Struthio camelus: one gene and its partners. The protein of the gene in region 3 interacts with the protein of the main gene of each other region in a pairwise test. Links are inferred from orthologs where the notes say so. Each region holds a gene or a part of one and is shown on either strand. Other genes may lie near its edges. The genes, in order: CASR, MYOZ1, FLNA and HSPB7.

Region 1 (7,672 bases), on a different chromosome or scaffold from region 3:
AGGTGCAAACTAGATTTAGATCTGTAAAGTTAGACAGAGGATAGCAGGAGTTTTGCATACAGGGGATCTAGTTGTAAGGTTCCCCCTGAAAACTGCAGAATGGAGAAGGGGTCATTGGTCCCTATGCACCACAGCAGTCAATTGAACCCTCCTCGATAACGGTGGGAAGAAGGATCAGAAAGCTCTGAACCCCTCTGCTTTGCTTGTCCCCTTATGGTAACAATACTTTACAATTGTACAGACTATTTTGCATGGAAATTCCAATGTGCTTTAGGAACCCCTGTCTCTAAACAAGACATTTCTAACAAGACTCTGTGAAGTACTGTCCTTATCCTCACTTTTGAAACAGGAAACTGGAAGGAAATGGTTTGTCCAAGGTCAGTGTCCAAGCCCAGAGCAGGTTCTGGAATTGTCGTCTTGTGAATTAAGTTGCTAGATCATGTTGCATTCACTCTTTCACTTACATTTCACATATACCTGAAGAGATTACAGTCTCTCATATTTCACAGGTTGAACAATTCAGTTATCCTAACTTTCTCAGCCAACCAAGAATTAGCCCCGATACATTAGGAGAGAAGATTTTAGTACTAAAGCTACCACCTTTGTCAATGCCTTCCTCAATCTATTGGAGTGTCAATAATGTTCTTACAATCCTTGGCACAAATGAGTGCAGGTAAAGCATTCCTCGCTCTTGCAGTTAATAAGTGACTGAGAAAGTGACTATCAGCTTATGCAGAAGGGGTTGTTTGCAGCCAACAGGACACATGCAGATGGAAGGGGAGCTTACTCGAAAGCAACCTACTCTGTCATTTTCTCAGAAAACCCCTACTGTCTCACTTCACATTTTTGCTTGTATTTCAGAAGATAATTCTAACAAATCAGTCAAGTATCAATAAAGTACTGAGGTTTGAGAATGGTGCAAAGAGTGTCAGACTGACAGACTTGGATTCTGAATTCTTCCACTGAGCTGTAAGTTTTAGCATGGAAGGTAACTGTGCACCCTGCTCTAACAATTTCTCTCTTGCTACTTTGAGAACGATATCAGAATTTTGCCTGGATGCCACCCTATTCATTTATCAGCCTCTCCGAGAGATTATGGGCAGGATGGTTTGGTGTCTAATACTGTGATAAGATCCTGTGCACACGTGGGCACTGAGTTGGGACCACCCTAATAATTTTATAGATGACCCCAAACATCAGCCATGTCATGCCCTAGAATGAAAGAGAGAACTTAGAGGATGCTCTGTATGTCTTCTTGCCACCAACCTGCCCTAATCTATTTGCTTTTCAACAACTTTAATCATATTAATTACATATCAACTAGTTATTGAAATAGTGTTTCATCTGAACAGCCATCAGCTCCTTTCACCACCACTCAGTAAGCCTCAGTAAAACCTCAGCAAAAATACTGCTAAAAATTACCCTAATCATATTTTTCCCACTTTCACAATTAGAAGAGGTGTACGGACCCAGACTTCACAATACTGAGGTCAATGACCAAATCCCGGTGAATTCACTGGGAACAGGACTGGATCTTGTCCTCAGGGCTGGAGCTTGCCCTTCTCATTAAGAAAAGGAGGTAGTTCTGCTGCTTGGTTAGGTGAGAGGGGTGGGACAGAAAGGGAAAAGAGTCCATGGTTGCCCCTTCCCAGCCTAAATCAAGAATAGGAAGGAAGGGCTCTAATTTCCATAATTAGCATAAACACTTGGAGGGACGCTACACTGCCTGGGAATTAGCCTTTAGCAACGCCTCGATACTCCCCTGACCTTGCCCCTCCCAGCTCATCCTCTTTACATTTACACCAGGTGGTGAAACTCCAGTAGGAGGCAACAAAGTCCTGACTGTCATAGAGACACTACCCACAAAGGGGAAATGAGGGAAAAATGCAGCTGCAAAGACACTCTGCCCCCAATTTACATCACTGAACAGGAGCATCATCTGGGCATCGCTGGGAGATGTAGGGCTACTGGCTCATTATTGCTCCTACCCCACTGAATCCACTCCCGGGTGTTCAAGCAGGGAGCTGCACAGTAAGGCACACAGGCTGGTCTAGAGGGCAGAGCCCGAGAGTGAGCAGCAGGTCTGTGTATAATGGACCGTCCGTTTCAAGTTGTAAAAACATCAGAAAAGGGGGAGACACTTCAAAAGATGAAACATAGCAAAGTAATTCTAAAGATCATATCCTGTACCTGAAATGCAAGCGAAGCTCTTAAGGAAAGATTCGTTAGTTTTTACACCATCTCTTCAGAGTTGCGGTGACATTTGTTTTGAGGAGTGTCAGGAGCTCCCAAAACAAGACTGTCACCCCTTATAAACGGGCATGTAGGATACTGTTATTAGCTGTTTTCTATCGGGCTGTTTGAGGAGATTTCTTTTTTCAGCACGTGTGATTTCAGTCAAACAACCTCTTGCTCTTTAAAGTTTTGTTATGATTAACTGTTCTTCGCCTCAATATTATTTCTAGATAACTTCAGCCAGAGAAAATACCTCTGAGCCGTACGGAAATTTCTCCTTTTGGTCTGATCCGACATGTACCAGAAGCCCGCCTGCCCCAGATTTGGGGAGGGGAGGCGGAGGGGTCCCTCCGTGCAATTACGTCTGCATTTGGCACGGCCGGCTGGGCTCAGCCTGAAATGCCCCTGGCTCACCCTCGCCTTGCCCCCTAGCCCGCCTCGCCTCGCCGCTCCTCCAGGTCTCTGCGCCCCCAAAGCCGAGCCCGGCGCTGCTCTGCGGGCTCTCTCCTGCCGGCGCGGACGCTGGCTGCCCCCGCGCCCCCAGCCCGGGCGGGCTGGCCCCGGGGGCTGCGCTGCCCGCCCCGGCCCTTTCCCGGGCGCGCACCCACCTGCCCGCGGGCCCGCGCCCCGCTCACCTCGTCCCGCCGCTGGGGCTGCTCCTGCCGCCGCCAGCTCCTGCCCTCACTCCGGCTCTGGGCAGGGCGGCGGCAGCATCCCCCGCCGGCCCCCCAGCTGCCGCCGCCGCACTTGCAGCCTCACGGGAACCGGCGGCGAGGGGAGGAGGGGATGGGGGGGAGAGAGAAACCCCTGGCCAGGGCCCCGTCCCAGCCCTGGCCGCCGCCTCCGGCACCCGGGCCGGCTCCCACGGGCCGCGCAGGCGGGGCGGGGGCGGCGGCGCCCGCGGGGACCCGCCCGGGCGCGCACCGCGCAGCTCCGCGCTGCCGCCGCCGCCGCCGCCGGGGCAGCCCCGCGCTGCGGGCGCGGGAGCGGCCCGCGCCCCGGCTGCTGCCGGGCACGGCGTCCCGCTCAGGGCATCGCGCGCGCCGCTGGGGAAGGGTAGCGAGACCAGATACCTCCGCGCGTCTGCAGACACGTTTTGGCAGCCGGGCTACGCCGCGCTTCCCAAAACGTGAGTGTCCCGCGTACGGCTCTGGGGTGCGCGCCGCTGTGCGTGCGCTACATGGCTCCTGCAATCCCCTTGCAACGGCGCCCGACGAGCGGGCAGCTGAGTTCCTAACCCTGCAGTAGGGCATCCCTGTGGGGAAGGGAAGTATCATTAGCTCCATTTTCCAGAAGGGAAAAATGGGGTCTTGTTTCATTTCACAGTGAAAAACTCCAGCTGTTTCCTATCCCTCCCTGTTACCTGAACCCAATCCCTGGAGCAGAAAATCCTCAGCTCTGTCTGCACAGTTGAACTGCTGCACGGTTGTGTGTATACATTCAGCTTCAGATTTGCTATATTCACCCACACCGACAGTTTATTTGCATCCTAAGAATTGAAATGCAGAGAAAGAGGTATTTTTTGCGTTGTTATTTACTAGTGCTAACATTACACTATTTTTCATGTCCAGAGACGGGACCATTTTACCATTGGATCATTTTACAGTTTTTGTTTGAAATCTCTTAACCTTATAATATGCTTTTTAGGAAAAAAAGATAGACATAGCTCTAGACTCAGATTCTGGCTCTGGTACCATTTTGCAGCCCAAACCTAGTGGTCTGGATCTGTCCTGATAGTTTAGTTTTTGTTTTCCCAAAACAATAGCAAAACCACAATGTTGCTGGAGTTGCAATGTACTGGTGAGAGTAACACTTAAAATATATTAAAAGTGTATTTTATTTTTCACCCTGGAGAGATGACAGAGACTGTTTATTCTGAAAGAGATTCACAAGTCCTTACTTTAGTACATGACTAGTCCGCATACTGCAGAGCTGCCAATGGACTTAAAGTCACCTAAGCCCTCAAAAAGCCTTTGGTGAACTGGAATGTAGTTAATTTTCATAAATAATTGTGTTAATTTTTTCACTTCTTTTGCAGTACAATATTTTTCAAGAACTAAATCATCATCCTTATGATAGTTATTATGGTATAATTGCATAATCAAACTGAATTGACCACAAATACTTTCCAGACAGAGAGAATAACTGACTGCAAAGCTGAATGAATATCCTCCTTAGTTCTTAGCCATCCTTCATTGAAGATGTTTCCAGAAAAAAGGTTTACAAATTCAGAGAATTCACTATTGGGGCCCAAGCAGACCCAGTGCTTCCCTGTAGCAGTGAATAGTGTAGAATTAACATTTAGAATCCCACATCAAAATAAACTCTTGTTTTGAGAAACCATAGAGGTTTCTTTGTGAGGTGGACTCAAGTTTTTTAGGATGATGCCATAGCATGGCAAGAGGAATAAACTCTTTTAAGGGTTTTGTCTGGTTTGTAGAAACTGAAGGGGAAGGGAAAGGTGGTTGTTTTAAGAAAACATCTGACTGTAGATATGGCCAAAACTTGAACTCATACCTAGGCCTCCCCATCAGCCTTACTGCCTAAGACCCTTGCTTTTTCCCTGATGCTCTCTGGGGATGAAGTTATGCCTGGAGTAGGGCCTGAACCTGTGCAAAGTATGCATACAAATGGCACAGGCCTTGTTCAAGGCAGTTTGTTCCTAGTTATGGACAGTTTGGTTGCAAGCTCGATGCTAGACTATGAAGGATTTCCACAGTGAACTGCGAAACCCAGAAGACTGAGAGTTTAAAGAGCTGGTGGACAGACAGCCTCAGACCAAGATTTTCTGGAAACCCCACTGTGAGTTCCTGTGACACAATGTCAGGACCTAAAAGCAGACAGCTCTTGAGGAAGCTTTGACTTTAGATCTCAGCCAATGCAAGAGCTGCCACCTGCAGCTGCCGAGACTTCTCTTGAGACTGCCAGGCCAAGAAAAGGCAGAAGTCTCTTAAATGTCCAAGCAACCTCCTATGGAGGATGGGGGGGGGGCAAAGCAAGCCCTCACAGGGATGGGATCGGAGAACCGCTGGGGGCGCCTCTGCCACACCTGACCCATGCTGAAGTCATTGAGGATGTGTGATACCTGGGAGGGGACTGCGGGAGGGATGTATGGGGTCAGAGATTCCAGGCTTAAGAGTTGTATGGGAAGGAGGACAGGGGACCAGTTCTCCCAGGGCCGACATGTGCTGCTGCCCCTATCACGGTATGAAGTCTCTCTCTCCCTACACAGAGAAAGATCCCATGGCATTGGGTCAGATGAAGGTAGGGTCTCAGTGAAGAGGGAAAGAGAGTCCACAGGTTTACCTGCAAAATGTCCCAGAAAACCAAGCAATCCCTTGTCTGAATGCCTTGATGGCATCAGAACAGGTATCAGAATACCTAAACTGTCACATCTTTCAGCATCAGTATCATGGGAGATTCAAATGGTGTTGTCCAGCATGTCCTCAGTCTCCATTTATATGGCTTGAGACACAAGCAGGAGCTCTTTCGTTGATCAAAGAGAATGACCAGCCTATCTGCATTTCTATGTTGGTGTTGTATTTAAAGGCCAAGAGCTCTCACTCATTTAGATTCTCTTTGTTGATATGTTCTGGTGCAGGACAGTACTCACTAGCTGAACTGGCACTGCTGCCATGTTGTCACTGCTCAGTGCTCACAGGGATCAGCCTGTTGTTTTATGTGTCATACTTGCCTTGTCTGGTTTTGGGCCATGATCATGATCGTCTTTACCTGGTCGAGCAAATATTTTCCTTTGTTAAACCTGCTGATATTTATGGTACGCTTTCCTCCAGGCTCTGCTTGTGCTATGTCCTTGGTCAGCAATTCTGTCAAGTTGCAGCAGGTCCCTTGTGGTGGAAAGACACTTTGGTGTCAGTGGGGAGATTCTTCAGGGAGCAACAAGGAGTCTTTCACAGAAGAAGGAGAGAACTCAGAAGGACAGAGGGACCACCAGAAACAGCTACTTCCCTCGTATAAGGGTTTTGTTTGATTGCAGGGGTAGTCTGCTTCCCAGGTGTATGTCACTGGTTTCCCAGGCATGTTAGCAACTCAGAGGCAAAAAGTGGTTGGAAGAGAGATGGGCAACTGCTGGGGAGGACTGCTGGAGGTGATTTTGGAATGGAGTGGCATGTGTAGTGAGCTGTACCTAGGTGCTGATTTATTCATGTAGTGCATCTTATTGCCCAGCATTGTGGCAAATAAGGTCTCATAAACTGCCCTTTTGGGCACAGCTGGACAAGTTAAGCTCAGCTGCTGATTCTTTTGATGATACCTCTGATGGCCCCCAGCCAGGGACAGCATCTGTGTCAGATGGTGTTGCACAGCCTTAGTACATTGGCTCTGAGGACAACTTTCTACACTATAAGCTGATTTCCTACTGAGTAGCCAGAGTTGAGGATGTGCAGATGTCTTGGGGTGATGGAGTCTCCCACAGGCTTTGGGAGCAGTGAGGTCATGTGTTGATGTGAACAGAGCGTCAGCTTTTAAGGCAGAGCATTGAAGGCTGCTCTTTGCATATGGACATTTTGTTCCTCCACTGTTGGTTACACTAGGTGTGGAGGGCAAAGCAATCCCAAAAATGGAGCCACAGAAGCATATTCTTCTGGAAACTCTGCAGAGGGTTAAGAGGACAGATACAACTTTATCTCTGACTAGCAAGATCTGGACAAATATGTAGGTGAGCTCACAACCAGAAGTCTTGCAGCTCCCGAGTGCAGGAAACAAGCAGCCTTCCAATAGGGTTTGCAGAGCTGCCTGATTCACCTGGTCCTAGCCAGGAGGGTGAAGTGGCACAAGGGCAGGCTTGCTGCTCCTGAATGTTGGCCTCTTCCAGCTTATCTGTGTCCCTTATGGAGGGTGTGTATCTGTTTGAGGAAGAAGACGGGGTAGGAACAAGAGGTGAAGGCTAGAGGGCAAAGTGCAAAGTCATATGGGATAACGAGAGAGCTTGAAGTTCATCCGTACAAAGGTTGCTGAGGATGCAGTTCAGAGGCATGCTCTGGAGGATGTGGATATAACTGGCTTGAGTGAGTTGCCTGGGAAGCTGGATCCCAGATTTCAGCCTGGTTACCTATGGCTGAGCCTTGTTACCAGAATCTGGTGCACTGAAGAGAATTATGCAGATAAAGACTGAACACAGACTCTCTGTTCTTTTTTCTGTTGCACAAGTTCACGGAAGTATGATAGGAAAAACAATGACATCTAACTCAACTTCTTCAACTATTCTTTAGTGCTAATAAAAAAAAGCTAGACTGATAGTTTGAGGATAGCACCCTGAAGACTGACAACCTGGAAGACTGAGTTTTTTTTCTATAGGATAAGCTGAGTACCAAAGGCAAGGCACGTTCCCTGCTTCCTCTACCTCAGAACGTTCCTCACTTTTGGCCTGTTTAGAGCTTTAATTGGGATTCAGAGAAAACTTGAGCTCTTAGGCTGT
Region 2 (7,321 bases), on a different chromosome or scaffold from region 3:
ACATATACGCTAATAAAGAAGTTTCTACAGCCCTTTTGGGGCACTGAAGAAAGTGACAGCACTGAATTGTTACTGTTCAAAATTGCTGCAAGTATGTGCCATGCTGTCAAAGGGAGAAGATGAGGCTGTCACGGCTGATTAAAGCTCACCCTATATGCATGTACTCTGTAGAAGGAAAAGGGTCCCATGTTACATCCCTCCTGCTGTATTAGCCCCACTGAGAAAATTTGACTTTTCCCACTAGTGAGTGCTGGAATCAAAGGAATGCTCTCACACAGAGGAAAACCAAATGAAGGACAAAGGTGATGAGAGAAAAGATCAGCACAGAGCATAACTAGACGCAGCAATATTGATATCTATAAATTATCGTATTATCTTTCCATTCACACTGGTATGCATCCAGATTAATGCCACAGGAGACAGTGGGTTTAGAAAGTGTAATCCAGACTAGAATTTGACTTGAGTGTGTATGCAACACTTTTGAAAAGAAAATTATGACATATGATGTCGTTAGAGGCTGAGCTTTTGCAATGGTGGCCCTGCCTCCTGGTGTGTTCACTGCATACCTTTCTCTGGGAGCTCAGCTGGATAGGGTGTGAGATTTTAAAGGCTGAAATTCAGGTTGAAATCCAAACAGTTCTCATATATGCAGTTTACATATCTTACCTTCGTGTGTCAGCTTCCCAATGAGTTTAGTGGACTTTTTTCTTTTAACAGGAGCAGGAGTCCCTGCTAGGGGCATTCCCACAAAGGGTTCTCTGCTTTGCTCTAAACACACAGAAGGAAATGGAGAATGAAACACTGGAAAGGTCTCTTGCCCCTCTTTTAGTTTCCCTCTACAGTTAAGAGACACAGGATCTTCATTTCACATGCAGATTCTTTTCCATCTCTCTCACATAAAGGAGCTAGTAAACAGTATCATCTCAGACAGAATATCAGCATTAGGCCGTTGTGGGGCTCTGTGGAGACTTCGTGTTAAGGCACAAAATATGGTAACAGATTACAGAAGAAGCATTGCTTCACTACCACATAGCGTTGCCACCCAGAATAGACAGTATAATTGCAGCACTGCAGCCTCCCGGCACCTGTGTATGCCATGATGGTACTATGTTGTCATGTTGTGCTGCAGTGCAGAATGTCAGTTTGAAAAATTCCTCGGTCATGACTTAACATCATTGTAATGCCATTTGGATATCGTTAGGTAGTAATACATATTCTTACATAAAGATGTTGGGTCTGCCCACGAGCTATGTGGGAACATTTTGAATAATGTCCATACTTGGTTTGGATATTTGGATAGTTCTGTTAGAACTGGAATTGCTTCTCAGAAACCTATCAGACTGCAAGTTATGCAAAAAACAAAACCCTATGTCATTCTCTTTTATGACTGTTGATGATATATTACAAAGGGCTGGAGGAAGAAGGCACAGGCCTGTTAGAGTTGTTGGTGCAAGTTGTTTGAAGTCACTTACACCTGCATTTTATGTATTCATCCTATTGCATGTCATTTTGGAGGGAGAAGGAGAGGAAGAGGGAGATTTCTTCTCTTACACTGTTTCCCATCTCTATCCCCAGGTAGGATGAGAGACCTGTACTGCTAAGTTGGGAAAAGTTAGGAGAAATCCCAGCAATTTTACTTCGGGCAGGTTCTCGTAGTCCTTCTTGGGGGTTATCACACATAATGCAAGTCGGGCTGATGTCTTCATTTTTGCACTGTCCTTGCCAAATGACAGTATGTAAGGAGACAGATCCTCACCTAATAAATGACCAAACTTCCATTGGGTTCAGCAATAGCAGAGAGTAACTAACCATCTCTGTCGCTGTGCCTCTTTACACCTTTAGTTGCTCAGAGCTTCAAAACAGATGTTATTAGCTGTGAGTTATTTTTTAAAACTAGCAGGCAAACTGGCTCTAGGACTGTGTACGCTGCCCTTGTTGTGATCAAGACGTTTTTATTTTCCAAATATTCTACAGTTTTCTTCCACCATTGCTCCTTTTAGAACATGATTTTGAGAGATGGTGACAGCTGCTGAAAGCAGCCTGGCCAGATGAAACCAGACCCAATTACATTGGCAGATATTCTCTTGGATAAGACTTTCTTTCTGATTTCCAAGTTTGATTTTTTATTGAGATGCTGCCTATGTGGTTCACATCATAAAAGAGCTCATCCTGGTGTATTCCCAAAGCAAGTGTGAGCAGGTGCAGCCATAAAGCACACGCCATGCATTCTCCTCGAGCAGCCGGACATCTGCTTGGCTATATAAAAGAAGCAGGCCCTGCTTGACAGGAAAAGGGCAATGCTGCCAGGAGACATGGGGGGAAGGAGTTTCAGGGAGTTTATGGCTCATTTGATGGGTCATAAGAGTGGCAGATGGAGGGAAAACGTCTGCGCCCCCAGACATGGACTCCCTGGGGCAGGCAGGGCGGGCTGGCCCAGTTAGGGAGCTGTGCCCCTCCAGCACGCTCATTCCCAAGGAGCAGCGAGGGCGGGTTTGTCCCGCTCTGCTGTCCTTTGCTGCTCCAGCAGGATCAGGGAGCACACGTAATCAGTCTAGCATAAGGAGTGGGGCAGCAGCCTTTCACTATGGATGGGGCTCAGAGCCACGGTTGGACCGCTGTTCGATCTGTCACCCCACAGCAGCGAGGCTGCTGGAGCCTCAGTCCCCTTGCTCCCCACTCTCTCGTGCATAGGACCAGGACCACAATTCCCCTTTTCTCCCATCAGCTCTATCCCTTGGTGTAATTCCTCTGTCTTTTTCTGCTTCAGTCTTTGCAGCAGTCATTTCGTTGGCTTTGCTGCAAACCAAACCAATCTTTACCCTCTTCAGCCCCTGCTCCAAACTGTTTTGCTGCCAGGTCAGCTTACCTTAGGCTTGTAGTGCCAGGCTCAGACCAGCTCACGCGCCTGCCCCAGGGCTCGGCAGCAGGCTGGCAGTGTGTGGGCAGCGTCCTCCCAGCCCACCTTTGGGCGCTGCGGGGAGGCTTGTCCAGCAGCCCCGCTCACCCAGGGTGCCGGGGTGCAGGCAGGCTCTGCCCGGCGCAAAGTGCTGATGTGGAGTGCTGTGAATTTGACTCCTGAAGGCTGCTCGCACAGGCATCCTGCAGTTATTAATAGCTGACAGCCCAGAGAGCAGGGTCTCAGATAGCACCACCACCAGCCCGGAGGAAAGGGGAGAGGAAAAGGTTGCACCTCAGGCCTCCTGCAGTCACCGCCTCCGTTCCCAGGAAGACTGGGCACCCTTTTCTGCATAAGTGCATTGCTCCTTCCCTTCTGTTCCAATCAACTTGCCGTTCCTCTCCCTCCTCCTATTGCACTTCAGTAATACCTCCTCAATCTCCTATTTCTCAGTAATGCCTCAAGAACTCTCTCAGGTCTTGCTCTTTTCTACACCCTCCCTCCGCCTCCTCCTCACTCCATCATTCAACCCAACTTCCTCCAAGCTCTCATATTAATTCCTAAAATGCCAGGGATTCAAAAAATACGTCAGAGAGCACAGAATAAAAATAATCACACCCATGAAACAAGAACTAGTAGGAAAAACACATTTACAGAGTTATAGGAAGTAGCTGTGTAATGTGGGTAAGAAACCCAACAGAATCAAGCAGCAAGGAGACTCATTTCCTGATTCATGGCAGAAATAGGGTTGATTGACTGCATTTAGTGTAGCTTTGTGCGTGTAAATGATTCCTCTACTTTAGCCACTGCTCATTCTGAAGCGACGCTACCTGTTTTTCTCCCCGTACCAAACTGGGTTCTGCTTCTAGGAGGAAGGAAAGTTAACTCATTTTACTGAAATACTCTAAGATGCACAAACTTTTAAGCTTCTACATACAGCAGGAATCCTACAGAGAATCATGTCCTTTCCTATTTCACATCAGAGCCCAACCAAGCTGTCTACTGAGTAAACATAGAGTCTAGTGGGAAAAAAAACAAAGCTGTGATTGTAGCAGAGAATCATCTGCACAGAGGCTTGCAAGTACACTTGATATAAAGGATCATCGGGAAACAGTCACTTTCCCTTTCTCGTATACTTTGCACAGTTGTGTTTGCCTGCACCAGCAGAGTATAAAACTTCCCAGTCTGACTGGTGCGTTGCAATCACAAGGCATTAACCCCCCCAGTGCTGTTTGGATAGTCCTTTATAAGAGTGCTATAACCTGTAGCTGTGGATAGGAGGTGGAGAGCTATGGATAATAATCATCTTTTATCCCTGTGACTTGGAGCTAGGGAATGTATGGCAATCTCCTGGCCTCAAGTTTCCTGTTTCCTTCTTGCTTCCATCCACATGGTCACTGCATATACATTACATTGTGCCTATGGCATAGCCCTTATTCTCCCCTCTTCCTACCACTGTAGCAATTTGCTGGAAGCTGGTAATCTGGGAGTAGCCCCATGGAGCTGTGCCAGTGTAAAACAGGTGTGGGGGATGGCACAACTGAACTGTAAATACCTACTCTCCGCGGTGGGCACCATCACAGAGCCTCACGCCTGGTGAGGGCATTTACATCTGCACAAAACTGGTGGGTGTCAAATACCATCGCAGCTGATCATCTGTCCGCACTTCACACGCACTCTGCGCAAGTGCAGGTGGTCACAGAAGAATAAGCTCTCAGTGTTGGCCAAATCCTCCTCACTGCAGGCCAAGGAATATTTTTTCACCACATTTATTTCTCTTGGGGTGATTGAGGACCATGCTGGGTATTTGCTCAAGGTGACCAGTGCCTGCTTTGGAAATCCAGTGGTGCTCTTTGGGATGCTGTTCATACCCCGTGATGCTCTCCTAATGAGGTACTCCCCTTGTATGCCAAGTCAAGGTCTTGAGTGAGAGGCGGACAGGGTGGTGAGGAACTGGAAGCAAGAGCCAGGCTGAGCAGGGAGAGGAAAGAAGAAACTGGGAGTAGAGACCACAGGGCAAAGTCTTTATCCAGAGCTCAGGAACAGGAGATTGAGGCGGAAAAGATCGAGCGAGGAGACTTTTATTGCTTAGATGCTGATGGATAGCATTTAGGTCCCTAGGCCAGTCATTGGATTCCTCAGAAACTGCAGTAGCAAAATACAAGGTCTAGGCCAGTCCGTTGTCCTGGCTTTTCAGTGTTGTTGTTGTGCCTGTGGCTGTTGTCAGGCTCTGATCCCTGGAGAAACTGTGGCCAGCTCCAATTTGAAAGGTGATATGTAGCTCTCATTCTGTGCTATGTGAAATCCCATTCTGTCCTTGCAACCCTGATCCTCGAGGTTATTTCTATCTGCATGTGCATATATCCATACACAGGGTGAGCTGCATTGATGGTCTGGATGAAGGGACAGAGTGCACCCTCAGCAAGTTTGCTGATGATACTAAACTGGGAGGAGTGGCTGATACACCCAAGGGCTGTGCTGCCATGCAGAGAGACCTGGGCAGGCTGGAGAGTTGGGCGGAGAGGAACCTCATGAAGTTCAACAAAGGCAAGTGCAGAGTCTTGCACCTAGGGAGGAATAACCCTGTGCACCAGGACAGGCTGGGGGCTGACCTGCTGGAAAGCAGCTCTGCAGAGAAGGACCTGGGTGTCCTGGTGAGACTTTCACCTCCTTCTCTATCTTCAAACAAAATGATGTCTCCATTTTCAGTTGCCTGTTTAAGAACTAAATCCTGCTCCTTTCTCCTCTCTATGGGCGGTTTCTCCTGAGAGATAGAAAAGTGCAGTTCAATAATCTAGAAATGTCGCTTGTGTGTCTAGCAGAGAAAGACTGATTTCATTTATAAATATCCTGCCACAATGCCAGGCTTAGCAGCTCAATGGCTTTTACCACTGGGAATATTGTTCCCATTTGATGTCTCTGCCTTCTGTAGTAGGATGAAATCAGCATGGAAAAGAGGTAATGGAGGGCTCTTACTATTATCGCACCCACTCATGCTACTCAGGGTTTGAAATCATTACAAGCCTGGCTTGTTGAGCTGCCCTTTCTTTTTTTTTTTTTTTTCCTTCCTGGACTCTAGTGAGATTTTAAGGGCTAAATTCAATCCATGCTTGAGTACATGGAGTTCCCACTTAGGTCAGCAAGGATAGTACATGTGCTGCCTGCAGGACATTTCAGCACTTCAGGGAGGAGGTTTAATCATACAAGGAACTCTATCTCACTGTGCCAACCTTCCTCTTTCCAAATATACCCTTCACTTAAATGGCCTTAGGAACAGCCTGCACAAAGCTTTGCTTTCTCTGACCTGTGTTTTCACAATTTTTTTCCTGACTCTCAGGGCACCTAATTTCAATTCAAAATATACAATTTCAAATAATTGATGTTTCCAAAATCATTTTAAGAGCAGCAGATGAGATCTGTCTTGTCACACAGTGCTGGGTGGACATAAATAGTAGCTAAGACAGGGAGTCCTCAGTATGGGTGTTTCCTGAGCACTCTTTGATCACGTGAAAATCAGGCAAACAGAGTCAGTCTGGCAAATAATTTCATTTTCCAAAGGTACAGAGTTAAACCTTGACCCTGTTCCCTGTTTTCCCTGGAGCCCAGGACTAGCACAAGCTGAAAGTATTCACAGGCTGCAGATCTCCACACCAATTGGATCTGTTCTGAAAAAAAGTTGCAAAACTCCTGCTTTGGCTTTTTTCCCCCTCAGGAAGAGAGTGGGGAGGGGGAGAAAAAAGGAGGGGAAGATGCTAGAAGGGCTTTATTATTTTGAAATAGTTCATATATGTTTTAATTTCTTCCACCTTTACGAAGACATGAAGAAGATTTGTCAGTAATTTGTTGTAGCGACACAAGGGGAGAAGTAGACAGTTAACACCAGGCTCTCCCCTGCTGCTAAGGGCGCTTAATGCACAGTGAGATGTAGGGCTTGGGCAGAAACGTGTAGGATTTGATCACAGAGCTGGGGGGGGGCAGATGTTGAAACAGCTGGTGTGCCTCAGGCATGTTCCTCACTGGACGGCCTCTTTGCCTGCATGCCCCACACTCCACCACCCAGGAATCCCCTCCAAGCTGCTGCAAACCTCCCACTGCCAAAACTCCCCGGTATGGAGTTGCCTTTCTCCTCCAGAATGTGGTGCTGAGCAATGCGATATGTGAACGCCGAAAGAGGATAGATTAGGAGGGGAAGATTTCCTAAGGTTTTAAACTCTCCAGACTTCACTCCACACCAAGTGAATGGTGAAACTCCAGATAACAGAGAAGAACAGTGGCAACACCTAGTGGCCATTGAAGTTACAGGTCTGTACTGCCCGGGAATATCCTTTTTCTTTACACATGCCATATACTACTAGCCCTGCTTTGCACTCTGCTAGACACTTCTTTAGGGTAAGGTTGCTTGGAGGTAGATACCTTCACTGGGCA
Region 3 (8,020 bases):
CAGGACGCAGGGTGCGGGGACGCAAACCAGGGACACGGCATCGCTGGGGACACGGTGCCACCACGGGCACAGGGTGTGGGGACGCAGAACAGGGACACGGCATTGCTGGGGACACGGTGGCACCACCACGGGTGCAGGGACACAGACACACAGTGGCCTCAGCCAGGCGGGCTTGGGGACACAGCGCAGCGGCAGAGGGGGACGGGGACACACAGGGCAGCAGGGAGGGGGACAGGACGGGGAGTGTGTGTGTGTGGGGGGGGGAACGCCTGGGGCCCCGGCAGGGGGTTGGGGGGAGGCAGCCCGGACGCCTGGGTCCCCTCCCCCGTGGGAGGGGGGGTGGGAGGTGCTGGGCAGGGGGAGGGGGAGTGGACACCGCCGCCCCCCTCCAAAAGCGGCGGGGGGCGGGGAGGGGGCGGGGTCGAGCAGGCAGCCCCGGGCCGCCCCTCCCCACGGTGGCCCCAGCCCCGCCCCCCGGCCCCGCCCGACGCTCCAGCATTTTTTGGCCTTATATGGGCTCGGGCGCCAGCGAGGCCCCGCCCCCGCCCCACGGCCCCGCCCCCGCCCGGCGGCCCCGCCCCCGCCCCCCGCCCCACTCGGGACCCCCGGGGACCCCCCGCCCCCCCAGCCCTACAGACACCCCAGCGCCCCACGGCCCTATAGGGACCCCCTGCAGCCCTGTAGGGACCTATCTGCATCTTATAGCCCTATAGGGACCTCTCTGCATCTCAGCCCTATAGAGACCCCCCACAGCCCTATAGGGACCTCTCTGCATCCCACAGCCCTATAGAGATCCCCCACAGCCCTATAGGGACCTCTCTGCATCTCGCAGCCCTATAGAGACCCCCCCCCCCAGCCCTATAGGGACCTCTCTGCATCTCACAGCCCTATAGAGACCCCCCACAGCCCTATAGGGACCCCTCTGCACCTCACAGCCCTATAGAGACTTCTCTGCATCCCATAGCCCCATAGGGACCTCTCTGCACCCCACAGCCCTATAGAGACCCCCCCCCACAGCCCTATAGGGATCTCTCTGCATCTTATAGCCTTATAGGGACCCCTCTGCACCCCATGGCCCTATAGGGGCACCTCACAGCCCTACAGAGACCCCTCTGCACCCCATGGCCCTATAGAGACCCCCCGGGACACTCGGCATCCCACAGCCCTCATACAGTCCTATACACATTCTCCTGCACCCTCCTATAGGGCCCCCTGCACCCTATAGGGCTCTCCTGCACCCCATAGGGTCCTGCAGAGGCCCCCTCTTCCCCCTGCACCCTATGGCTCTATAGGGACCCCCATGGCCTTATGGAGCCTGCAGAGCAGCCCCCACAGCCCTGCAGAGATGCCCCTGCATCCTATAGGCCCCCCCACAGCCCTATAGCGACTTCTCTGCACCCTGCAGCCTGACAAGGCCCCCTGCACCCCACAGGGCCCCCCTGCACCTATAAGGGAGCCCTGCAGCCCCATAGGGCTCCCCTGCAGCCCTCCAGGGCCCCCCTGCAGCCATAGGGCCCCCCTGCAGCCCACAAGGTCCCCCGCAGCCCTATAGGGCTCCCCTAGAGTCCACAAGCAGCCTTGCAGCCCCACAGCCCGCCCCCCCCCCCGCACCCATAGGGCCCGACAGTTCCCCCCCCCGCCGTTTCCTGGCATCGAGGCCGGGATGAGTCACGGGGGGTGAGTAACCCCCAGCCCCACCCAGAGGAATGTGGGCCCCGGGGGGATGTTTGGGCCCCGGGGGGGTGTCTAGGGCCCCGCTGCCCCCCCGGGCAGGGTGGGGCCCCGGAGCCGCCCACAAATCTCAGCCTTCCTCTGGGCGCAGGATGTGGGGAACCGCAGGGCCGAGGGACCCAGGCGTCCGGGGACCCCCGACCCCCCACCCGAGCCCCACATCTCCCTCGGCCCCGCGAAAAGGGCCGAAGGACCGAGGCGTCCGGGAACCCCTCTGCCAGGGCCCCACCCCCCCCAGCAGGACTGAGGGACCCAGGCGTCCGAGCGGCACCCCCCCCCCCACATTCCTGGGATGGGAGCGGGCCCAGCCCCCCCTCCCCGCCTTTGTTATGGGGCCGAGGGGGGCCGGGGAGAGGGCCCGGTGCGGGGGAGGGGGGCGGGCGGGGGTCCCTGTTAAGGGGGGAGCCAGAAGGGGGGCTACTGGGGAGGTCAAACAGAGGGTCCTGGGGGTCTCTAAGGGGGGAGCCCAAAGCGAGGCCCATTCAGGGGGCACCCAAACAGGGGCAGGGATGGGCCCAGAGGGGGCCCGTGGAGGGGGCTCCCAAAGGGGGGGGTGCCAAAGGCGGGATCCTAAAGGGGGCCTCAAGAGGGGGGACTCAGGAGGCAGGTCTCGCACGGGGCCCTATCGGGGGGGATCTCAAGTGGGGGCTCCCAGAGAAGGGAGAAACGCTCCCAAAAGGGGGGGCATGAGGGGAAGGGGGCTGCCACAGGGGGGCGGCTCCCGAAAGGGGAAGGGGGGTCTCACATAGGCCCCCACTGGGGGGTTCTCCCGAAAGGAGATCTCACTGGGGCAGGTCTTATGGGCCCCCCCTTATCAGTGCAGGCATTGGGGTGCACCGGTCCCAACCGCGTCCCGCTGGGGGGTCCCGGGGGTCCCCCGCGGCCTCACCGATGGAGACCAGCTTGATGTTCTCCCGCTCGAGGAACTCGAGGGCCACGGAGACGTTCTCCAGCTGCATCTGGCGGAAGGTGGGCCGCGCGTTGTACTTGCGGCCCATCTTCTTCTGGCTGAGCACCTCCAGCAGGGCGATGAGGCGCAGCCCGTCGCCCAGGTCGGTCTGCAGGTTGCCCACGCGCTTGTGCACGCACTTGAGGTGCTCGTTGCACCAGCGGGTGAAGGTGTTCTGCTGGATCCGCTTCCAGGGCGCGTCCTCCGCCAGGTCCTTCTCGGTGGCCGGCATCTCGCCGTCCGCCGCCGCGCGGTTTGGCTCCGCGCGCGACCCGTCCGCGCGTGACACCGCCTCCTCCGCGCGCGCGCGCCCCGCCGCGCTCATGGCTTTAAGGGGGCGGGGGCGGGGGGGCGACGCCCCCCGCGGCTGCCGCGCCTGCGCGCCGAGGGGGGGGCGGCGGCTTAAAGGGGCCGCCGACCTGGGGGGAACGGGGAGGGAGTGAGCGAGGGGCCCCGGGGGCACCCCGCCAGCCCCCACCCGCCTCGACGCCCCCCCCCCAGTCTGGGCCCCCCCGCGCTCCCCGGTTGGGACCCTCCCCGATGCCCCCCCATTTGGGGACCCCCCTGCACACCCCCCAGCCCCGGCGGTGCCGAGGCCTCGGGTGTCCGGGGAAGCGCCAGACGGATGCTGAGTCAGGCCCAAAACCGCGAGGGGGGGTGGGATCCCTTCCCCCACAGCCCGGACGCCTGGGTCCTCGCGCTGAGTCACCCCGGCGGGACGGTGCCCCGTGGGGGGTGGGGGGTCACGCCCCCCGGCATGGGGGCGCCCCGAACGCCTCGGACCCTCCCAGCCCCACACGCGTCCTCAGAGCCTCCTTAGCGCTCCTCCGTCACACCTTGACGCTGCCCCGTCACACCCTAACACGCCCCGTCACACCAGGAGCTGTCCCGTCACACCCCATCAAGCCAGGAACCGCCCCATCACACCCCGTCACACCAGGAACCGCCCCCATCACACCCTCACATGCTGCATCACACCAGGAGCTATCCCCGTCACACCCCGTCATGCCAGGAATTGCCCTGTCACACCGGGAGCCGCCCCCGTCACACCCCGTCAAGCCAAAAACTGCATCATCACACCCTAACATGCTGCGTCACACCAGGAGCCGTCCCTGTCACACCCCCACCACACTGACAGCCATCCCCGTCACACCCTAACACGCTCCGTCACACCAGGAGCCGTCCCTGTCACACCCCCACCACACTGACAGCCATCCCCCGTCACACCCTAACACGCTCCATCACACCAGGAGCCACCCCTGTCACACCCCCACCACACTGACAGCCATCCCGTCACACCCTAACACACTCCATCACACCAGGAGCCACCCCTGTCACACCCCCACCACACTGACAGCCATCCCGTCACACCCTAACACGCTCCGTCACACCAGGAGCCACCCCTGTCACACCCCCACCACACTGACAACCTTCCTCCTCACACCCTAACACGCTCCTTCACACCGGGAGCCGCCCCTGTCACACCCCCACCACACTGACAGCCATCCCGTCACACCCTAACACGCTCCATCACACCAGGAGCCACCCCTGTCACACCCCCACCACACTGACAGCCATCCCCCGTCACACCCTAACACGCTCCATCACACCAGGAGCCACCCCTGTCACACCCCCACCACACTGACAGCCATCCCCGTCACACTCTAACATGCTCCATCACACCAGGAGCCACCCCTGTCACACCCCCACCACGCTGACAGCCATCCCCCGTCACACCCTAACACGCTCCATCACACCAGGAGCCACCCCTGTCACACCCCCACCACACTGACAGCCATCCCCCGTCACACCCTAACACGCTCCATCACACCAGGAGCCACCCCTGTCACACCCCCACCACACTGACAGCCATCCCCGTCACACCCTAACACGCTCCATCACACCAGGAGCCACCCCTGTCACACCCCCACCACACTGACAGTCCTCCCCGTCACACCCTAACATGCTCCATCACACCAGGTGCCACCCCTGTCACACCCCCACCACACTGACAGTCCTCCCCGTCACACCCTAACACGCTCCATCACACCAGGAGCCACCCCTGTCACACCCCCACCACACTGACAGCCATCCCGTCACACTCTAACACGCTCCATCACACCAGGAGCCACCCCGTCACACCCCCACCACACTGACAGTCCTCCCCGTCACACCCTAACACGCTCCATCACACCAGGAGCCACCCCTGTCACACCCCCAGCACGCTGACAGCCATCCCCCGTCACACCCTAACTGCTCCGTCACACTGAAAACCGTCCCCCTCGGCCCCGTCACCCCTGCGGCGGGGGGCTCCCCAAACTGCCCCGCAGCCCCCTCGCCGCACCCCATCGTGCCCCCTCACGCCCCAGCAGGGCTCTAGACGCAGCCGCTGCCCAGACCAGGGTATCCCCCCCCCCCACGGCACCCCCAAAACGAGCGCTCCTGGGGGGTCCCAGACCCCCGGGGGGGTCCCCAGCCCCTCAAGTGTGGGTCCTCCCCACTGCACCCCCAAAGACGGGGGCCCCAGGAGGGTCCCCAGACCCCCCCCGGGGAAAATCCCCTCACAGCACCCCCCCAGGAGGGTCCCCAGACCCCCCCCGAGGAGAAAATCCCCTCAGGACACCCCCAATAAGGGTCCCCCCCAATGACACCCCCACAAAGGGGGTCCCCAGACCCTCCCGAGGAGAAAATCCCCTCACAACACCCCCCGAAATGGGTCCCCCCCAATGACACCCCCCCAAAAGGGGTCCCCAGACCCCCCCGAGGAGAAAATCTCCTCACAACACCCCCCAATAAGGGTCCCCCCCAATGACACCCTCCCCAAAAGGGGTCCCCAGACCCCCCCCGGGGAAGATCCCCTCACGACACCCCCCCAACGGGGTCCCCCCCCCGGGCACCCCAAAGACGGGGGTCCCCAGCGCCGCCGCAGCCCCCCCAGCCCGCAGCCCCGCGCTCACCGGACCGGGCGCCGCTGCCGCCCGCGGAGGTGAAGCCGCCGGAGCCGGAGCCGGAGCCGGAGCCGGTGCCGGAGCCGGAGCGGGAGGGCGGGGGGAGCCGGAGCCGGGGGAGCGGCGGCGGCGGCTGTGGCGGAGCGCGGCCGCCGCGCGCGGGTGGCGGTTGCCGGGGGGGCGCGCGGCGCGCGCGGCGCCTTAATTGGTAACGGGCGCGCGGAGCCCCGCCCCGGCCGCGGGGGGGCGGCGGGGGGAGAGGGGCCGGGGGCGGCGGGGGGGGGGCTGTGGGGCGGGAGGGCCGTGGGGCAGGAGGGGCCGTGGGGACAGCGGGGGGGGGGGGCAAGAGGGACTGTGAGGATGCTGTGGGGCAGGAGGGGCGGTGGGGCAGGAGGGGGACAGTGGGGAGGCTATGGGGCAGGAGGGGCCTATAGGGGATTATATGGGGCAGGAAGGGGATTTGGGGTTACTATCGGGCAGGTAGGGGGCTATGGGGATGCTATGGGGCAGCAGGGCACTATGGGGGTACTATGGGGCAAGAGAGGGCTATGGGGCTGCTATGGGGCTGGAGGTTGCTGGGGGGGATGCAGGACAGAAGGGGGCTATGGGGCAGCTTTGGGGCAGAAGGGCAGCTATGGGGGATGCTATGGGGCAGGAAGGCACTATGGGGATTATATGGGGCAGGAGGGGGCTATGGGGCTGCTATGGGGCAAGAGAAGAGCTGTGGGGCAGGTGGGGGTTATGGAGGGGCTGTAGGGCAGCAAGGGGCCATGGGGGATGCTATGGGGCAGGTAGGGTATATGGCAGGGCTGTGGGGCAGGACACAGCTATGGGGTGATATGGAGCGGAAGAGGGCTATGGGGCACTATGGGGCAGAAGGGGGCTAGGGGGGCTGCAGCGTGATGGGGGCGATGCTATGGGGCTCTATAGGGCAGCAGGGCTCCCCTGGGGCAGGACAGGGCAGGAGGGGATCCCACAGGGGGCTATGGGGCAGGAGAGGGTGACGGGGGATGCTATGGGGCAGGAGGGGGGCTGAGCGGGCCCTATGGGGCAGCTGAAGGCCTGTGGGGTGCTATGGGGCATGGGGGGACCCCAGGGGAACAGCTATGGAGTGGGAGGGGGGCTATGGGGCAGGGGAGCAACCTAAGGGGCAGAACAGGCCCCGCGAGGCGCTGTGGGGCAGCAGGGCGGCCAGAGGGCAGGCAGGCGGCTATGGGGCGCTGTGGGGCAGGGCCCCCCCGGCCCTCAGGAAACGAGGCAGCGGCGGAAACGGCTCCTCCGGCCGAGGGCCCCGATAGCGCCGGGGGCTCGTTAGCGGGGGGGCTCGTTACCAGGTCTCCGTGGCGGTTCGTTTGCGGCGCCGCGAGCCCTCGCACGCGCGTGTGCATCCTTGCACCGGTGTCAACATGCACGCGTGTGCGTGCTCACTCCAGCGCCCTCGCACACGCGTGTGCTCCTCACGCACACGGCACCACGCGGCTGCCCCCGCCATGGCCACGGGCCGCTCACACGCGTGGCCATGCACACGCTACACCCCGGCCCCGGGATCCGTGTCGCTCCCGGGTGTGCAAACACGCATGTTACACCCCCACCCCGGGATCCGTGTCACTCCCGGGCGTGCAAACCCAAACCTGTTACCTGCCTGCATCAGGCCCTGTGCAACCAACACATGTGAACACGCGTGCTCAAGGCTGCACCTGCTTGTTCTTCACGCACACACGCGTGTAGCAGCCTCGCTCACGAGTACCCCCACCCCCGGGTGCGATCCGGGGGGAAATGGGATTTGGGGGTGGTTTAGGAGGGACCCAGGCGTCCGGGGGGGGCATTAGGGCCCCAGGGGGGTTGGGGACCGGGCCGGCCCCAGCCCCGATGATCTCAGCCCCGAAGGAATCCGGGGTGGGGGGGGCGCTGGAACGTCATTGAGAAATACCAGCCCGGACGCCTGGGTCCCCTGCCCGGGTGGGGGTGGGGAGTCCGGACGCCTGGGTCCCTCCTCACCGCCACGGGCAGAGTTGGGGGGGGGGCACCCAGACGCCTGGGTCCCCAGAGAAAGCAGTCGGGGTGCAGGGGGGTCTCCGGCGGGGGCGAAGCGGAGCCCGGACGCCTGGGCCCGCGCCCCGCTCGGGGCGGGCAGGGGACGCCGACCCGGACGCCTGGGTCCCCGGGCCGGGGCGTCGAAGGCGCCGCGTCCCCACCCCGCCGCCGAGGGGGAAGTGATAAACCCCAACAGGGTGGGGAGCCCCGGAAACCGCCCGGACGCCTGGGACCGCGGGCAGGGCGGGAGCACGCCCGGACGCCTGGGTCCCCCGGACGAGCGACGGGGGGCCGGGGGCGTCCCTCGGGGGGCACCCGGAGACACGGCAGCCGGGGGGGGGGCGCGCCCGGACGCCTG
Region 4 (7,430 bases), on a different chromosome or scaffold from region 3:
GATGGATGGAGAGGTGCATGGATGGAAGGATGGACAGGTGCATGGACAGATGGGTGCATGGACAGATGGATGGAGAGGTGCATGGCAGACAGATGGACAGGTGAGTGGATGGATGGGGGCATGGATGGATGGACAGACAGGTGCATGGACAGATGGGTGCATAGATGGACAGATGCATGGATGGATGAGTGCATGGACAGATGGATGGATGGGTGCATGGATGGATGGATGGACAGATGCACGGATGGATGAGTGCATGGACAGACGGATGGATGGGTGCATGGATGGACAGATGCATGGCCGGATGGGTGCATGGCTGGACGGATGGATGGATGGGACCACATGTCCCATTTCCCCCCTCTCCCCCTTTTGCCGGAGCCGGTACCTGGTGCAGCGAGGTCCAGGGCGAGAGCTGGAGCGTGATGGGCTCAATGGCGCAGTCGTCCCCCACCGTGCCTGCGGGCTGCCAGGGCGTGATGACACCCAGATGACGCTGGGGGAAAAAAACAAACAAACAAAAAAAAACCCACACCCCGGGTTTTGGGCTCTCCCCCCCGGCCCGACTCACCTCGTCGCCGGAGCGCTGCAGGAAGGCCACCAGCTCGGCGCGCCGCACCGTGCCCACCAGCGTGGGCGACGCTGCGGGGCGAAGGCGGAGGTGAGGACGGGTGGCGGGGGGACCCTCCAGGAGCCACCGCTACCGCCGTCGCAGGCTACCTGTGCTCTCCACCACGGGGTACTCGGCATCGCTGGCGGCCGTGACGGCGGCCAGGACCTCGGCGAAGCCGGCCGCCTTGGCCAGGGACAGCACGCGGCGGTTCATGAACGTCTCCGTGAGCACCCGGTAGGAGCTGCGGGGGAAAAAAAAAGCTCAGAAAAGGCCCGAAGCACAAACCCCGCTGAAAACAAACGCAATAAAATAAGACGCCCGTGCCGGCGGCGTCGGGGAGCCTCACGCCGAGTGGCGGCCGCGGATGGGCGGCAGGTAGGGCAGCTGCTTGACGATGACGGTGCCGTCGTAGAAGGAGGGCTGCCACTTCTGGGCCAGGCTGTTGGCCACCAGCACGGCCAGGGTGACGGGCAGCGCGTGGGCCAGGTGGCCCGTGGCCTCGCACACCAGCAGCGCCGTGGAGATGGAGTGGGTGACGCAGCCTGAGAACGCCGCCGCCCCTGCCGCAGAGACCCGGCCGGCTCGTTGCACGGATGCCAGCAACTTTTTTTTTTTTTTTGCAATTTTTTTCTTTTTTTCCCCCCTTCCTTTTCCTACCTACCGGCCAGCGCGTAGCCGCCGGGGATGACGGGGTGAACGCCGCCCTGGGCGCTCAGGCCCCGGGGGAAGAGCGCGGCCACCGTCTCACCCGCCAAGCGGCCCACGGCGGCTCCTGCAAGGAGGTGGTGGCGGCGGGGGGCTGAGCCAGGGGCCACCCGGGCGCCCTGCCGGGCAGCGGGGCCGCCCGCCGTGCGCTCACCATACACGAAGATGGGCATGAAGTAGCCGGCGGGCAGCGGCAAGGTGGTGGCCAGGATCAGCATCCAGAACTGGGCGGACGGGGACGGGGAAGGGACGAGTTAAGGGCGAGCGGGGAGACCCCAGGCACCTCGCCGGGGCGGCCCCCGGGCGCCGTGGCTGGCCAAGGCGCTACCTTCATGAGCAGGAAGAAGGCCAAGGTGCCGAAGAGGGTGACGGAGGGGTGGCACCACTCCTGCCACAGGCGCTGGGGCTCGGCGGCGTCGGGCGGCGAGGCGTTTCGGGCCAGGTCGCCCCAGGTGCGGTTGTCGAAGAGGGAGACGAGGTACTCCTTCATGGTCAGCTGGGACGGACGGACGGACAGGCGGCTGGAGGGACGGAGGGACGGGCCGAGCCCCGCCGCCTTGGCCGGCCGCCGCCATCCCCGGGCTTACCCTGGATGCCATGAACTGCCCCAAGCTGGGCGGGAAGGTGATGGAGGCGAGCAGGAGGACCACCAGCACCGTGTAGACGGGCTTGCTGCGGGGCCAGAGGACGCACGGCTGCGTCTCCTCCGCGCCGCCCAGTCCAGCCCATTCCAGCCCAGTTTGCCCCCCCCGTGCCTACTCCGTGGCCAGCAGCTTGGCCGTGAGCCTGTTCTCCTTGACGTAGCCCAGCAGCCAGCGCTGGCAGAAGAGGTAGGCGCAGCCGATGACCCCACAGACGCCCCTGCCAAAAAGAGAGGCAGGTGAACGGCCCCGAAAACGCACGTCCCTGCCACCCCCCTCCCCGGGGAAAAACAACAAAAACAAGCATTTCCCATGCCCGGCCAGCCCTCCTTACCCCAGGGCGATGAAGAAGAAGGTCTCGGGGAGATCGAAGGGGAAATCGATCTTGAGGTCGGTCTTAAAGAGGGCGACGATGGTGTCTGGCAGGAGGAAGGAGCCCAAGGAGGGGGTCTGGAGGCGTCCGGTGGGATGGGCGCACGGCCGGGGCCGCCGTTCCCACGCTCCTGCAACTGTTCCCGCACCCTCACCACCGCCGTTCCCACGCTCCTCCCGACCCCCCCAGCCCGGTCACCTTGCTCGCTGTTGAAGACAGCGAGGAGGCGAAACATGAAGGCGCCGCAGGTGGCGGCGAAAAAGCCCCTCCAGTAATCCCGCACGGCGAAGTGGGTCGACATCACCTCGATGCTGAAGAGCACCCCTGGCCACCGGCGAGAAAATCCCGTCAGTGCCGTCGCCGCCACCCCGAGCACGGGACGCGGGGCGCTTCGCTCTCACCACTGATGGGCGCCCCGAAAACCGTGGCCACCCCGACAGCCTGGGCCGCCACCAGCATCTCATTCTGCTTGAACTTGTCCTGCGGAGGAGTTGGCAGGTCGGCATAACCCAAATTCAGGCCAGGACAGCGGCGGGGGGGAGCCAGCAGCCTCACCTCGTACTCCTTGGTCACCGACGTCCGCATCTTGCCCAGGTACACCGCGACCATGGCGGAGAGGTGGACGAAGGGACCCTAGGGACGACGGCGCTGAGCGGCCCCCACCAGGGCAGGTCCCCGGAGCGTGGGGCAGGGGCCGGGGCCAGGAGCGAAGCCGGGTTCGCCGCCCGGTGCGCGGCTGCTCACCACTTTGCCCAGGAAAAGGGTGCTGCCGCAGGCCAGGGTGCAGGTGAGCCCCACCACCTTGGCGCCAAAGTTCTTGATGGCCAGGTAGTCCTCCAGCATGACCCCCGTGAGGATGGTCTTGAGCTCGGGGATGCCAGAGCCTGGGGAAAACAGAAAAAAACAACAGATGGGAGGGCTGCAGTGTCCTCTCCCCCCAAGCATCTCCCCACTGTTTTGGGGAGCCATTGCAGCTCCAGCGCCGGTGAAGCAGAAGGTGCCGCGGCCGGCGCTCACCTCCCGAGTGCGGCGTGATGCTTTGCGAGAAGCCGGTGGAGAAGGCTGCCAGGGCCACCGGGTACATGGTCCACGAGAGGTATTTGAGCACTAAATAGTCTCCGACCTCTTGGTAAAGCCAGCGGTGAGCTAGAAGAGACGCGCCGGGAGGGGAAGGGGAAGGAGCCGCGGGGGGGGGGGGGGGGGGGGAGATGTCTCCTTGCCCTGCCATGGAGGTTCTCCAGCATCCCTTTCCCCCACCATCCCACCACCAAACCTGGGGAGACAGCCACATTTTCCCACCAGGATCAAGCCCAGGGTGCCCTGAGGGTGCTGGGACCCTGACGGCACCGGTCCAGTGCCCACCACCCTTCTCCGGGGCGGCCGGCATTACCCTCGTAGAGCCTGGAGACGATGAAGTCCATCATGAAGCTGATCATGGCCATGATGACGCCCAGGACGAAGAGGAAGTACCAGTCCTCGCCGACGCGAAAGAGCTGCCTTTGCACGAGCTCCAGGCACCCTGCAGGACAGGGGGGGTCACTAGCCAGCCAAGGGCACCCCAGGGGCGCCCGCGTCGGCTGCGGCACCCACCAGGCTGGGTCTCACCTCGGAGCCTCCTCCGGGCTTCGGGGCAGGGCCGCCAGCTTTTCTCCGACACCAGCACCCTCTCTGCCACCTCCTCTTCCTCCCACAGCCCCCCTGCGCTGTCACCGTCCGTGGCCTCCATCCCCGGCTTGGCAGGAGCGGAGGGGCAGATATCCGGGTGCCCCATGCTATAAACCCCCGCCTTGGCCGGGACTTGCCTTGCCGGGGCTGCAGCCACCTCCGCTGCCAGGCTCTCTGCTGCGCACCCACCCCAGCCCTGCCCGAGCCGCAAACTCATTAAAAACGACCTTGACGAGTCGGCCTGAGCTGCACGGGCCGGAGCCAGCCGGAGCGTGCAGGGGAGGGTTTTTCCCGTGCCACCGGCCCTCCTCACCTGCGCCGGCCGCGGCGATGGGCTGGCAGCCACCACCCCCATCCTCCGAAGGGGTGCCAGGGACGGAAATCACCATGGGGTGGGTTAGTTATTTATTTATGAGGGATACAGCCCCTTCCTCGCCTCGGCGGCACCGAGACGCTTGGGCGAGCCAGCCCAAAAGCATCCACGGGCAGCCGTCGGGGCGGGAGGCCAGGAAGCGGAGGGGACGGGGCCGCAGCGGGCGAAGGGTGACTCAGGCGCCGGCTGCAATTACTCAGCATCGGGTTTTAAGCTCGCCTGACATCCCTCCTCCCTGCCTTCGGGGCCCGGCTGCCGGCCGGCAGAGGCTGCCCGGGGCAGCGCCTGGCCGGGCCGTGCGCCAGCCCGCCGCGCCGCAGCCTGGCCCGTCGGCCGCATTTTTTGGCAGGGCCACCCGGCAGGTCGGCGGCCCGGGGAATAAAGCCTTACATGGTGTGCTCCCTGCCTGGCTCAGCCGAGCTGCTTGCCTTCCCCGGCCCCCAGCACCACCCGCAACCTCAGCCCCTCGCTCCCAGCCCGCAATCTCAGCCCCTCACTCGGTGTTCCCGCGCCACCTGGACGGGAAACGGCCTCGCGGGATCGAGTCCGGGTGGGCAGGGCGACCAGCGCCGCATCAGGGACCGACAGCTGCGCTTTCCCGGCCGTGCGTGGCTCCCGGGGCCGGGGACGCCGCGACCTTCGCCAGGTGATGAACAGCAGCCCCCGGGGACCTGGCGGCTAGTGGGTTATGGGATTTCTCCCCCCCCTCGCCTTCACCCCACCGACACGAGCGCACAAAGGGTGCTGCCGGCGCCACACGCTTGGACCCGTGCCAGCCCTCCACCCTGTGTCCTCGCAAGGACACCTCCGACTTTTAATAACTCACTTGATGCCTTTTATTTATTTATTTTATTATTGTTGTTGTTGTAGTAAACCTCGCATGACCTTCACGGTTGCTTGACGGGCTGCAAGCAGCAGCCGCGGCTCCGGAGCCTGGCAGCATCCAGGGGCTGCCCAGAGCCTTTCGGCCCCGCCGAGGGCATCGCCCGGGTGGGATGTGCCCTTGGGACCGATCCCACAGGTGTCAGTGGGAGATTTAGCACTGATTCAGCAAGCAGAGGTTTGGCCTGGTGAAAGAGCCAGGCTCTGAGACGGTCCAGTCTGAGACCCTGCCTGTGAAACCTGCTCACCAAACCGTCCCCGATTGCTGCTGCATCCCGGCTGTTGCTGCGTGCAGGTAGTGAAAACCCCTTTTTCCAGGGTTTTTGCAGTGGTTTTAGCACCGCTAAGCCAAAGCAGCCACGCGAACGCCCCACGCACACGTGCCTCCTGCAAGGCGGCCACCTCTGGGCTGCAGCCTCTGGACTTTTTGCCCAGATAAACCTGCCTCCGGGGCAGCCCCAAAACCTCCCCACACTTCCCTGAAACCCAAGCCAGACCAGGAGGGAGAAGCGAGTGTGGGAAATGCTTTGCCAGCCTCTCCGGCAGCCCCTTCCCCATCCCCAGCAAGTCGCATCCCTCAGCTTTTTCCTTTGCCGGCACCTTGCACTCTCTTCCCCATCTTCCTTTTTTTGGGAAGCCGGTCCCCAGGGCCACCGGGAGCTGCATTATCCAGGCGGGCAGGAACGCCAGCAATGGGATCAGATTCCTCCCTTCGCTGCTTGTTTGCAGACGGGATCGGGAGGAGAGGAGGCGGGGGGGGAGAGGAAAATTTCCACACTCTCCGGAGTGATGTAGCAGGACCTAAATTTAGCCTGTTTTACAAGAGGTCTGGAAGGCAGCCGAGAGCCTAACAGGGCTTTATAAGCTCAGCAGCCGCCTCTGAACTCAACGGCTCCGTCTGCAAATCTTGCCCGTTCGCATCTCGGAGCCGTGTTTCCCCTCCGGGCATTGTGAGGCTTTCCGGGGCAGCACCTCTGGGGTTGCACTTGCTGCTTTTGCTTCTCTTTCTCCGCTGTTTTGCTCCCCGCTTTCCCCACAAGCGCTTGCGGCGGTGGATGAACTTGAAGTCCTCCTCGGCTTTCCGCTCAGAGAGCAGCTTCCATCAGAGCCCGTCACCGTCTCCCGCCCGCCCCATGGAGCTTTTCGGGACCTTCGTGCGGCCCCGCACGGAGCCGCTGGGCTTCCCAGGCAAGCGGGGCTCCGCGGAGGCGGCGGGGAGGGGGGGAGCCGGGACGAGAGCGGCGCCGGCCACGTGGGTGCCAGCCTGGGAAAAGGCCCTGGGAAAGGGCGATGCTTCCCGAACCGCGTCCGCCTGTGCCGTGGCATGTAGGGGAGCAGAGGGGGGAGGCGGAAAGACCGGGCTCTCAACCGCCGCGGAGGTCTCGAGCGCCTCTCCTCTCCCGCAGCTCGGCCCGGCAGCGCGGGCAACATCAAGACCTTGGGCAACACCTACCAGTTCACGGTGGACGTCAGTGACTTCGCCCCTGAGGACATCATCGTCACCACCTCCAACAACCAGATTGAGGTGCACGCCGAGAAGGTGAAGGCTCCCCTCCTTCCTTGGCCTCCTCGTGCCGGCCCCGGGGCCACCCCTAAACCAGGACCCTGGGCTGGCTTGTTCCCAGGACGAGGAACGGCAAGTCCCCAGCCCACCGGCATCCGCCTCAAATCTGTTTTCCCTTCCCTTTGCAGCTGGCCGGCGACGGCACCGTCATGAACACCTTCACCCACAAATGCCAGCTGCCCGATGACGTGGACCCCACGTCCGTGTCCTCCTCGCTGGCAGACGACGGCACGCTGACCATCCGGGCCCGGCGGCAGCCCGCCAAACACACCGAGCACGTCCAGCAGACCTTCCGGACTGAGATCAAAATCTGAGCGGCTGGCGTGCGCGGCGGGGGATTTTGGGGAGGGAAACGGGCCGGATCACACCAGAAAGGCTTAATTCCCCCGAGCCGCCCTGGCCTGGCATCGCTCTAGATGTAGACGCAGGAGCACAGCCGTCCCTTGTAGATGATGTTTGGGTAGCGTTTGGGCTAACACGGGTATTTATTTAGCTGCGTGAGCTCAGGGGAGGAGGTCCCAGGACAGGATCGCGCCTCCGCTCCTGGCAGAACCAGCCAGCATCCTAGGCAGGCCGCTCCAGGAGGCACAGCAGCATCCCCTCTCCGACACCTGCAG

What was found.
Region 1: the proteins of FLNA (region 3) and CASR interact in a two-hybrid assay, tested with the Homo sapiens proteins (2 studies listed by BioGRID). The link is inferred for Struthio camelus from reciprocal best matches to the Homo sapiens genes FLNA and CASR.
Region 2: the proteins of FLNA (region 3) and MYOZ1 interact in binary tests that used the Homo sapiens proteins (3 or more experiments, as listed by UniProt). The link is inferred for Struthio camelus from reciprocal best matches to the Homo sapiens genes FLNA and MYOZ1.
Region 4: the proteins of FLNA (region 3) and HSPB7 interact in binary tests that used the Homo sapiens proteins (3 or more experiments, as listed by UniProt). The two-hybrid records come from large-scale screens. The link is inferred for Struthio camelus from reciprocal best matches to the Homo sapiens genes FLNA and HSPB7.

The regions. Positions count from the first base shown.
Region 1 is NC_090942.1:91,231,059-91,238,730, forward strand, and holds the start of CASR (extracellular calcium-sensing receptor), read right to left. Parts: upstream 3,102-7,672; 5' UTR 2,871-3,101; intron 1-2,870. UniProt on the Homo sapiens protein: G-protein-coupled receptor that senses changes in the extracellular concentration of calcium ions and plays a key role in maintaining calcium homeostasis.
Region 2 is NC_090948.1:24,694,091-24,701,411, forward strand, and holds the start of MYOZ1 (myozenin-1), read right to left. Parts: upstream 3,085-7,321; 5' UTR 2,867-3,084; intron 769-2,866; 5' UTR 743-768; coding exon 667-742; intron 1-666. UniProt on the Homo sapiens protein: Myozenins may serve as intracellular binding proteins involved in linking Z-disk proteins such as alpha-actinin, gamma-filamin, TCAP/telethonin, LDB3/ZASP and localizing calcineurin signaling to the sarcomere.
Region 3 is NC_090979.1:219,503-227,522, reverse strand, and holds the start of FLNA (filamin-A), read right to left. Parts: upstream 3,021-8,020; 5' UTR 3,006-3,020; coding exon 2,621-3,005; intron 1-2,620. UniProt on the Homo sapiens protein: Promotes orthogonal branching of actin filaments and links actin filaments to membrane glycoproteins. Anchors various transmembrane proteins to the actin cytoskeleton and serves as a scaffold for a wide range of cytoplasmic signaling proteins.
Region 4 is NC_090962.1:13,660,067-13,667,496, forward strand, and holds the start of HSPB7 (heat shock protein beta-7), read left to right. Parts: upstream 1-4,308; 5' UTR 4,309-4,386; intron 4,387-5,237; 5' UTR 5,238-5,544; intron 5,545-6,104; exon of another isoform or gene 6,105-6,289; 5' UTR 6,290-6,304; coding exon 6,305-6,437; intron 6,438-6,655; coding exon 6,656-6,789; intron 6,790-6,941; coding exon 6,942-7,127; 3' UTR 7,128-7,430. Other genes in the region: chloride channel protein ClC-Kb-like, read right to left, coding at 386-493, 569-639, 718-851, 957-1,170, 1,272-1,382, 1,470-1,539, 1,644-1,811, 1,903-1,987 and 9 more.